Drosophila melanogaster: one gene and its partner. The protein of the gene in region 1 interacts with the protein of each later gene in a pairwise test. Each region holds a gene or a part of one and is shown on either strand. Other genes may lie near its edges. The genes, in order: GV1 and dUTPase.

What was found.
Region 2: the proteins of GV1 (region 1) and dUTPase interact in a two-hybrid assay, tested with the Drosophila melanogaster proteins (one large-scale study listed by BioGRID).

The regions. Positions count from the first base shown.
Region 1 is NT_037436.4:1,808,753-1,813,645, reverse strand, and holds the start of GV1 (GV1), read right to left. Parts: upstream 3,059-4,893; 5' UTR 2,927-3,058; intron 1,018-2,926; 5' UTR 965-1,017; coding exon 962-964; intron 1-961.
Region 2 is NT_033779.5:11,009,117-11,012,678, reverse strand, and holds dUTPase (deoxyuridine triphosphatase), read right to left. Parts: upstream 1,368-3,562; 5' UTR 1,239-1,367; coding exon 672-1,238; 3' UTR 544-671; downstream 1-543. Other genes in the region: Art8 (arginine methyltransferase 8), read left to right, coding at 1,687-1,725, 1,782-2,768; Nup154 (nucleoporin 154kD), read right to left, coding at 2,920-3,052, 3,114-3,236, 3,302-3,562.

The DNA of each region.
Region 1 (4,893 bases):
AATATTTAACTATAATATTTCATTCATTTATCCAAGATCGCGCAACAGCAGTCAGCAAGATCGCTTAAGGAAGTCATTTAAATTAACAAATTGCATATTAATATAATTATGCTCGGCTGCGGGCTCTTTGTCTGTGGCAAATGGCCAAAAATAGAATTATAAAAATAATCGAACACGTTAATTACTTAAATGATGTTGCACAAATATTGTTTTTGCCCGACGTATTTTGACAATTAACGACGCTGATTTCACTCTTTTCATTTCCGGTCAGACATCAGCGCGCAGCTTAACAAATGCACAAAAATGAATCGCAAATTCAAACTTGCCACAGAACAATGCGTACGAAATGAATGAGAATCACTCGAATCGACATCCAACCGCACTCACATGGCCCATTGTGGGTCAATGCCTTTGTCAACTGCAATTTCTGTGTGCAGAAAGAGTGGTTTTATGTGCTTTGCCCTTGGCACTGCAGCCGAGCTCATGGGAATTATGATTTCATAATAAGTAATAAGTTCTATGTTCTCAGAAATATATGATTAGCTGGCTTGAAGAAGGATTCCATGTTCACAACACCCAGAAATAATTCATCTTTCAGGAATGTTCGTGTTGAATACTTATACCTTCTTAAAAATAAGCCGAGCATTTATATATTTGAATTAAATATATTTATATTTCCCAGCTCATACGACAAGGTCCAATGACACGAATGCCTGGGAGTGGATTGCTCATGCGTTGCTGCGAAATTTATGCAGTTGCTGGGAGTGTGTGTCAATTTCGTTGGACGATCGTGCATGCGGCTTAATTATTTCAAAAATTATGTGAGAGCAAACACAGAAGTCGAGAAATACATAAATACCTGCACTGATTACCCCCAAAACAACACGACGAGCTACACGTGTTTAAACTCGATTACGGAGCGGAAATTGGCTTAAAGTTAACAATGCATGAGTGTACTTACCATTTTGTGTCGATTGTGTTTGGTCAAATGAAACTCGAAACTTCTAAGTCGCTTAGCTGCAAAAATATTAGTTCAATTACTGAAGGGTAGATCTTGGGGTTTTTCACTACACCAAAATAAGTTGGATGCATTCGATGTATAATATGCAAAACAATTTGTTCGATTTTAACTACAGTCACTGGAGGAGTTGCACTTGAAGTTTTTGCATAACCTTTTGAGCGCGGAAAGTTGCTCGGCCGTCCTCCACAGGCAGATTTGTTATTAATTTGAAGCGATCAACTGGTCAGCCTCAGTGAGAAATCAGAAATCAGAAGTCACCTCCATTAACGACAGCCGACTGGTTGCCTATGTCCACCCGGGTATATAGTAATTGTAGACGAGTCTGGCATATCGAATGCCGCCGTGTGGGACAATATCAAATCAGATTTAAGGTAAATATCAAATGGAATGGGCCGCGCTCATTACGCAATCGCCTTACTTAGTTGGACCCTAGTGAACGGTTACTTTTGGCGGTGATTGTGTCTGCGATGACGCTGACTTTTGGCGTCTCAATTGCCAGTGTGTCCGTGGCAGCATTTGGCTTTCTGGCGGAGATCGAGACGAGATCGCGATCGCGATCGAGATTCGTTCCACACATGGCCGCCCTGATAAGAGGGTATGTGTTTCAGTACGAGGGGGAGTAGCGCACGATTTGTGGCGCATGCGTAAGCGTTGGAACCAATTCAAATGACCATTTACCATTTTCTTGAAAATCTTAGGTACGGTTAATTTTCAATTGCCTTTGGCGTGGTGGCAGCTCTCGGTCTTTTTGGCCACACAGTGTCGCAAAGTTTGGCCGAATGTGAGCCGCATGCCACGCATTTTAAGTGCCGTCCAAGTCCCAGCTATTTGCGATCGTAAATATCCGAGGAGGAGGGCGTGCCAGTATGCACTGTCCGGCCAAAAAACGCCGGCCCATGTCACGGCTAACAGTCGGAACGTGACTATGTTTAGACGGACTCCAAGATTTTAGGCGTCAAAACTGGAGGCACTGGAGGTCAGCAGCTCAGCAGTAGAATCTCTGGCAGGCCCAAACCCGTTCCGAGCTGTAATGAGCCCACCGATCAGGCGACCTTAGGTATTTGCTCTGCGGCCAATTTAAGGAACCGTGATATGTGCATAAATTAAAGCGTTTAACTTTTATAGAGCCGACTAACTAGTCGGAGAAGATACTTCGCCTGGTCTTGAAAAATGCAAAACCAATTTGCGCAAATTAACAAGGTTTTATAATCATTGGCAACACCCAAGCTCAAGTACCCACAATTATCCGCCGCGGAGTCTGAGAAAACATTTCCGGCACATTAAACGCAAAAACTATACGGAGATAAAGCAAAACTAAATGTCAGTTGGCTGCCCGTGATAATAACAATAATAATTTGCGGCCTGTTCAAAACTCATTTCCAAGTTGCTGCATCTAAAGGGGCCATAAGCGTTTTTTAACTTTTTCCCTCCCTTTTATGCTACTCTATTTTATTTAGTTTATTTAGTTTTGCTGGAGAGAAAAGTCATGGGCGAGGTTTAATTTATGGCAGCTCGGGAAACGGATTTTTCTCTAGATTGCTTGTGCATATTTTTTTTTCGCCTTTTCGGCTATTTTGACAAATGCCTTAAAGTGTTTGGTGCGTGCAAAACGGCGGAACGCCTTCAATTTTATTTATCTTTGTGGAATTGATTTATTTATTTGCATAAATTTAACACGCCTGCGACAGCAGCTGCGCTGCCTGCAAGCTATAAATTGTCTGCATTGCAGCACGCAAGTTCGTTGCCTGAGTCTTTTGTTTCTGTCGCTGATCTTAACGATCCTTTTATGTTGGTGTTTATTTTTTATTTTTATTTTTACGTTTCTTGCTTTCTTGCACTTGGTCAGAACTTCACAACACACGTTTATATTTAGCATTCATCGTCATCAGTTAACACTGCACATACTTTGCCGCTGCTATCTGGTATCTGAAGGATATAGTATATTATACTGTTTATATGCTGTGGGTATCACGATATCGAACCGCTGTTTCTGCGCTAAAGCATGACAAAACTCATTGAAGACACGGGCCACACTGAAAGCAGCGAATGTGGTAGCATCAGCACAAAGTCTCCGTCTCCCGATTTGTCGGCCTCCGCTGGTCATCAGCTGGTTTGCGAATCAGCCAGGCGGCTTCGAGCCAGGCCCGAACTCGGAAAGCCGAGCCCGAACTCCAACTCGGCTGCTTTTCGCTTTGTTTTCTATTTTCAGGCGTGTTTTTGTGCGCTTTTTGCCTTTTTGCTTTTTGCCAGCCAGTTTTCATTTTCATATGTGGCCCAGGCAACATGTTGCTAGGGCCGTTTCCGGCATCAAATTCTTGAAACATGTTGCCAAGCTGGGGAAACACAAATACGAGTATATAAACCAAATCGACTAAATGGAACTTCTACTTTTAAACCTTAATCATTAGTGGGTCTACATTTGCTTAAGTCACTAGAGCATTGAATTAGCAATCATTGGCTAGCTTATTGGGAAATATTTTTTTACAAGCTAAGATTACATTTGAGAATTATCTGAATTAGTGTGGACTTAAAATAACATTTAAAACGTCATTATATTTCTGATCTGAACTTCAGCATAATTAAATATTCCGACATATGGGCATATAAACAAACCATCTAATTTATTTTGCTTCCGTTTTCCATTTTAATGACTGTAATTCATCTGAACAAATATTTTTCTGTTCGTAATAACGCATCAATAAATTATTAATGATTTGTTTAACTTAGAAATGTTTAATGAATTGAGGAATGCTAATTTCGTTCATCAGAGGGACTTGATGTTTTTACGAATTGTGAATTTTAAATTATAATTAAAAACACAATATATATATATTTATTTTTGTCAATTTTATGAAAACAAAATTATTTGCATAAGCGTCAATTAGCATTTTTATTGGTTACATTAAAGACGATGACAGGCATGATTTTAAAGTGCATTACATTCCTCTCGATTTTGAATGTGACTGTACCTAGAGTTGTAGGCCTATGTGTGTGGGGCATCCGTGACCTCCTTCGACGAGTCACCTGGTGATAACACACACACTGAACCACAATTGAGTGTGGCACTACAGAAAGCGATTACGTGAGCGACATTGAAATCGGATATAGCATGATATATAGTCTGGGGCGGCTGAGCTCTTTACGCATGAACTGAAGGCTGGCGTATTTTAATTTCTTTCATTAAACACTTCAAAGCCCCCACGACGAAGTGGTTGTCCCCATCAATTTGATTGGATGTCAGCCGATTTTGATTTTATTAGCTGGCCGAGTTAATGAGCCCCAGACAACACTTCGTATAATTATCGAACGCCTAATGTCAATGCAAAATACTGCTGTGTTCGCATTTATTTAATTTCATTTAACTTCGTTTTATGGGTTCACAGTGTTGCGCTTAATGGCGGATCGGTTTCCTCATTAAGACATAAAATTATGCCAAGTGATTCTGGACGACTGCGAAATTTAGGCCCTGCTTTTCAGAGGCAGAATAGTTTAGGTCAATTAAATTGTAAATTGTAAATGCAATTAAAAATCCATATCAATCAGTTCGCCTATCGATTAGCATACACAAGTTTTTCCAATTATGTGTGTGTCTGTGTGTTTAAGTTCGAATAGTAAATCAACAGAAATGTCTGTTAAAATCACTTTGGTCTGACAAGTTGCCTTCGGTGTGATATGGTAAAGTGCACCGAGAGAAATGAGGAGCACCTAATAGAATGCAATATCTCAGCGGGTTACGAAAACCCATCCAATCATGTCATCATAATATATAGCTATGCTATTTTCCAATGCTTAAATATTTTCCCGAACCATTTCGACTTTTTCCATATATTTCCCACTCTGTATGTCTGCTTTAGTAGAGGCGATGGTGGTTG
Region 2 (3,562 bases), on another chromosome or scaffold:
TAGTTAGCACCAAGCGTTAACCTTTCGCGGCCCTTCATGCCTACTTAAATATGCAATACAAGTTACAGCTGTACATATGTATGTATATTAACCTTAAACTAGATCCATAATTCTGGATGGATGGTCAGTGCAATTTTTTGAAAAAGCCAAAATGAAGACACATCCCATTCATTGCCTAAATATGGAAATGAATTGTAAATAATTTATGTATGTTTCGATAACATTACTCCTGATACATTTTAGTAAAAGGTCCTTAGTAAAGACATTTAGTTAAAATTGGTTGGCTTGATGAAAATCGATATAAATATTTAGCTCAGAAATTGCGTGCATAAAAAAGTATTCAAAGGATATAAGTTATTTACCAGTTACCTCATAAGTGAGGAATAATTGTTTAAGCTGCCTGAAAAACCTAACACAAATTTTTTAAATAAAGAAAAATAAAAGCCTTTTAGAAATAACATGCCAAAAGTATGCAATGCATATCCAGGAAATCTAGTGATCCACCATCCACCAGTCAATCTAATGACACTATGGGAAACATTTCTTCGTAGATTTGCGGTTTTAATAGATAAAAATATACCAATACATTAACATATTTCACTTAAGGATACAGAATGAAACTCTTTGATAGTGACCATGAAGGGATTAAGAATGCGGCAATAGTTCCTCGTTTACGTAGCAACAGGAGCCGGAGCAGCTCCCTCCGGTTCGGCAGCCTTTTCTCCGTTGCCGTTCTGCGCCTTGGCTGCCGGCAGATCCTTGACTCCGGTGGAACCGAATCCTGCCTCGCCGCGCTCGGTGTCCTCCAGTTTGTCCACCATCACCAGTTGCGGATAGAAGATACGCTCGCAAATGAACTGGGCGATGCGGTCGCCATGCTTCACCTCGAAATCAACATCTGAGTGATTGAACAGGACGACGCCGAGATTGCCGCGATAATCCTCGTCCACCACACCGGCGCCCACATCAATGAAGTTCTTCACCGCCAGCCCGGATCGTGGGGCTACGCGTCCGTAGGAGCCCTCCGGAACCTGCACTTGCAGATCGGTCTTGACAATGGCCTTTCCGCGTGCCGGCACCACAACGTCGTAGGCGCTGCGCAGGTCAACTCCCGCCGCTTTGGCGGATCCCCTCACCGGCTCCAAAGCATTCTCGGTGAGTTTGGCGAATCGCAGGACGCACGTGTCGATCTTCATCTTCTTGGCAGCTGGAATGTCGGCGAAATCGGTTGATGGCATTTGGAGCAAATTGAGTTATTACAGGAATGCTTCGAAAGTACAGAGACTTTTTTCAGCTTACTTGCAGAATTCTGGTCTGAAAATAACGCGGTTTAACACAGCGTCGGAAAATTGGCGGACTTCCAGTGTTGCAAGATACCAAAAGTACAAATCGCCGAAAATCTACCAAAAAATCTTAAGTCAGCTTTGCATTTCTAAAAAACATATATACAACTATGCCTTGAGTTTAATTAAACAAATAATAAATAAAACAATAATTTAGGCATTAATAAATAAATCAAATTGATTTTATTAAGTAAAACGACCAATCACAACCAACCCTGATAAGCAACCCTATCGATATATCGATACTATTGTAGTTGATTAACACACCTCTATTTAGCACGTTGTTTTGAAAAATTCACTTGATGCGTTAATGTTAATGTGTTGATAACTGCAACTTTAAATCATGGCGAACACTTATTTCGATGAGTATGAAAACTTGGAGGTAAATAAGATTATAGATCTTCTTGTGAAACTGTACTCATAGTGACCAAACTACAGATCCACGAGCTCATGCTGAAGGATCGTCCTCGGCAAGAAGCCTACTACAATGCGATATTGGGGAATAAGGATCTGTTCAAGGACAAGATCGTAATGGATGTTGGTGCCGGCACAGGGATTCTGTCCGCCTTTTGTGCGAAAGCAGGAGCCCGTTTGGTCTACGCCGTAGAAGCATCCAATGTGGCCACCAAAGTTGCGCTGGATTTGATTGAGGATAACGGCCTGACGAACGTGGTGAAGGTGATCCAGTCGCGTGTTGAGGAATTCGTACTGCCTGCCGAGGCGGAAAAGGTGGACATCATTGTGTCCGAGTGGATGGGCTTCTACCTGCTGCACGAGGGCATGTTGGACTCGGTTCTCCTGGCCCGGGACAAGTTCCTCAAGGAGGGTGGACTCCTGTTCCCCAGCGAGTGCACAATTTTCGTGGCACCCTGCTCGGTACCATCGCTCTTCGATGATTGGCACAACGTGGACGGCATCAAAATGGACACGTTTGCCAGAAAACTCAGAACCCAAAAGTCATCCCGACCGGAGATTACACAGCTGAATCCGCAAGATCTTCTGCACGAGGGCGTCGTCTTTCACTGGATGAATCTGCTGGATGTGGAAGCCAGCGATTTGGACAGCATTCAGTTCAAGGAGGTAATAACAGCCCAGAAGGCGGGCAATCACCAGGGCTTCTGCATTTGGTTCGATGTACAGTTTCCTGGCGAAGATTTTGTTCTAAGCACATCGCCGCTATCCCCGCCAACGCATTGGAAGCAGTGTGTAGTCGTCCTGCCCGAGGAATCCTGCGAAAATCTGGAGGAGAAGTCACCCATTGCATTTCAAATCACAATGAAGCGCAGTGCTGCCGATATGCGTAAATACAATCTGGAGGTGGATTTGCTAGACCCCAACACAGAGGAGCATCCAGTGCCTTGCTCCTGTCACATGACGAAGTGCATTCTGACGGAAGCTCATCTAAAAATGATGGACACCTCATGAGTTACATGCCATCTCGGAATCCGAACAACGATCTGTGGGGAAATCAATTTATTTAACATGTTTAATACAAATACAATATATATCTCAGTCAAACTTAACGTCTAGTCCAGCACTTTCAAAAATTTAATTAAAATAACGCAGGCCGACGGCTTTAAATCAACAACCGCTGCAGCTGACTCTGAAGTTCCTTGAGTGAATGTTGAAGACGATTAGTGTCGGGCTTTTGGTAGCAAATATTCAGGCAGCCGGCCACTATGTCTTGAGCCTTGCCAACAATTCGTCGTCTGCAAGTTAAATGTGAATGTAAGTAAATCGTATCGGCTAGCATTTTACTTTTGCACTTACTTTGACCGGTACCAAATAGATTGTGCGTTGTCTGCCAGAAGCGAGACCACTCGTATGACGGATTGTATTAAATGCCACTCATTACCCTCGTTGGCCCACACTCGTTCGTTCATTGAAATCATTCTGAAAGTTTTTAAAAGTTTAGCCTTTAAACAATTTTATCTCTGCGAAAACCCTTCAATACGTACCTCGAATAGTATTCCAGGAGCAGTTCAATGTCCAAATTCATACTCACCAGTTTTTCCGGCACTATGCCCTCGGGAAATCGCAGTTGGCAGGCTTTAACTTCCAGTTCCCTTATGAGAAAGGCAAAGGGAAAGCAAACTCCAGACTCGCCATACTCCCTTACCAAGATTTCGATTTTCGTGAATAACCTATTGCAGCGCTCACTAGTTGTGCCCGGCTTATCCACAACGCTGTTGATAATCTGGCCCCAAACGGACTCGATC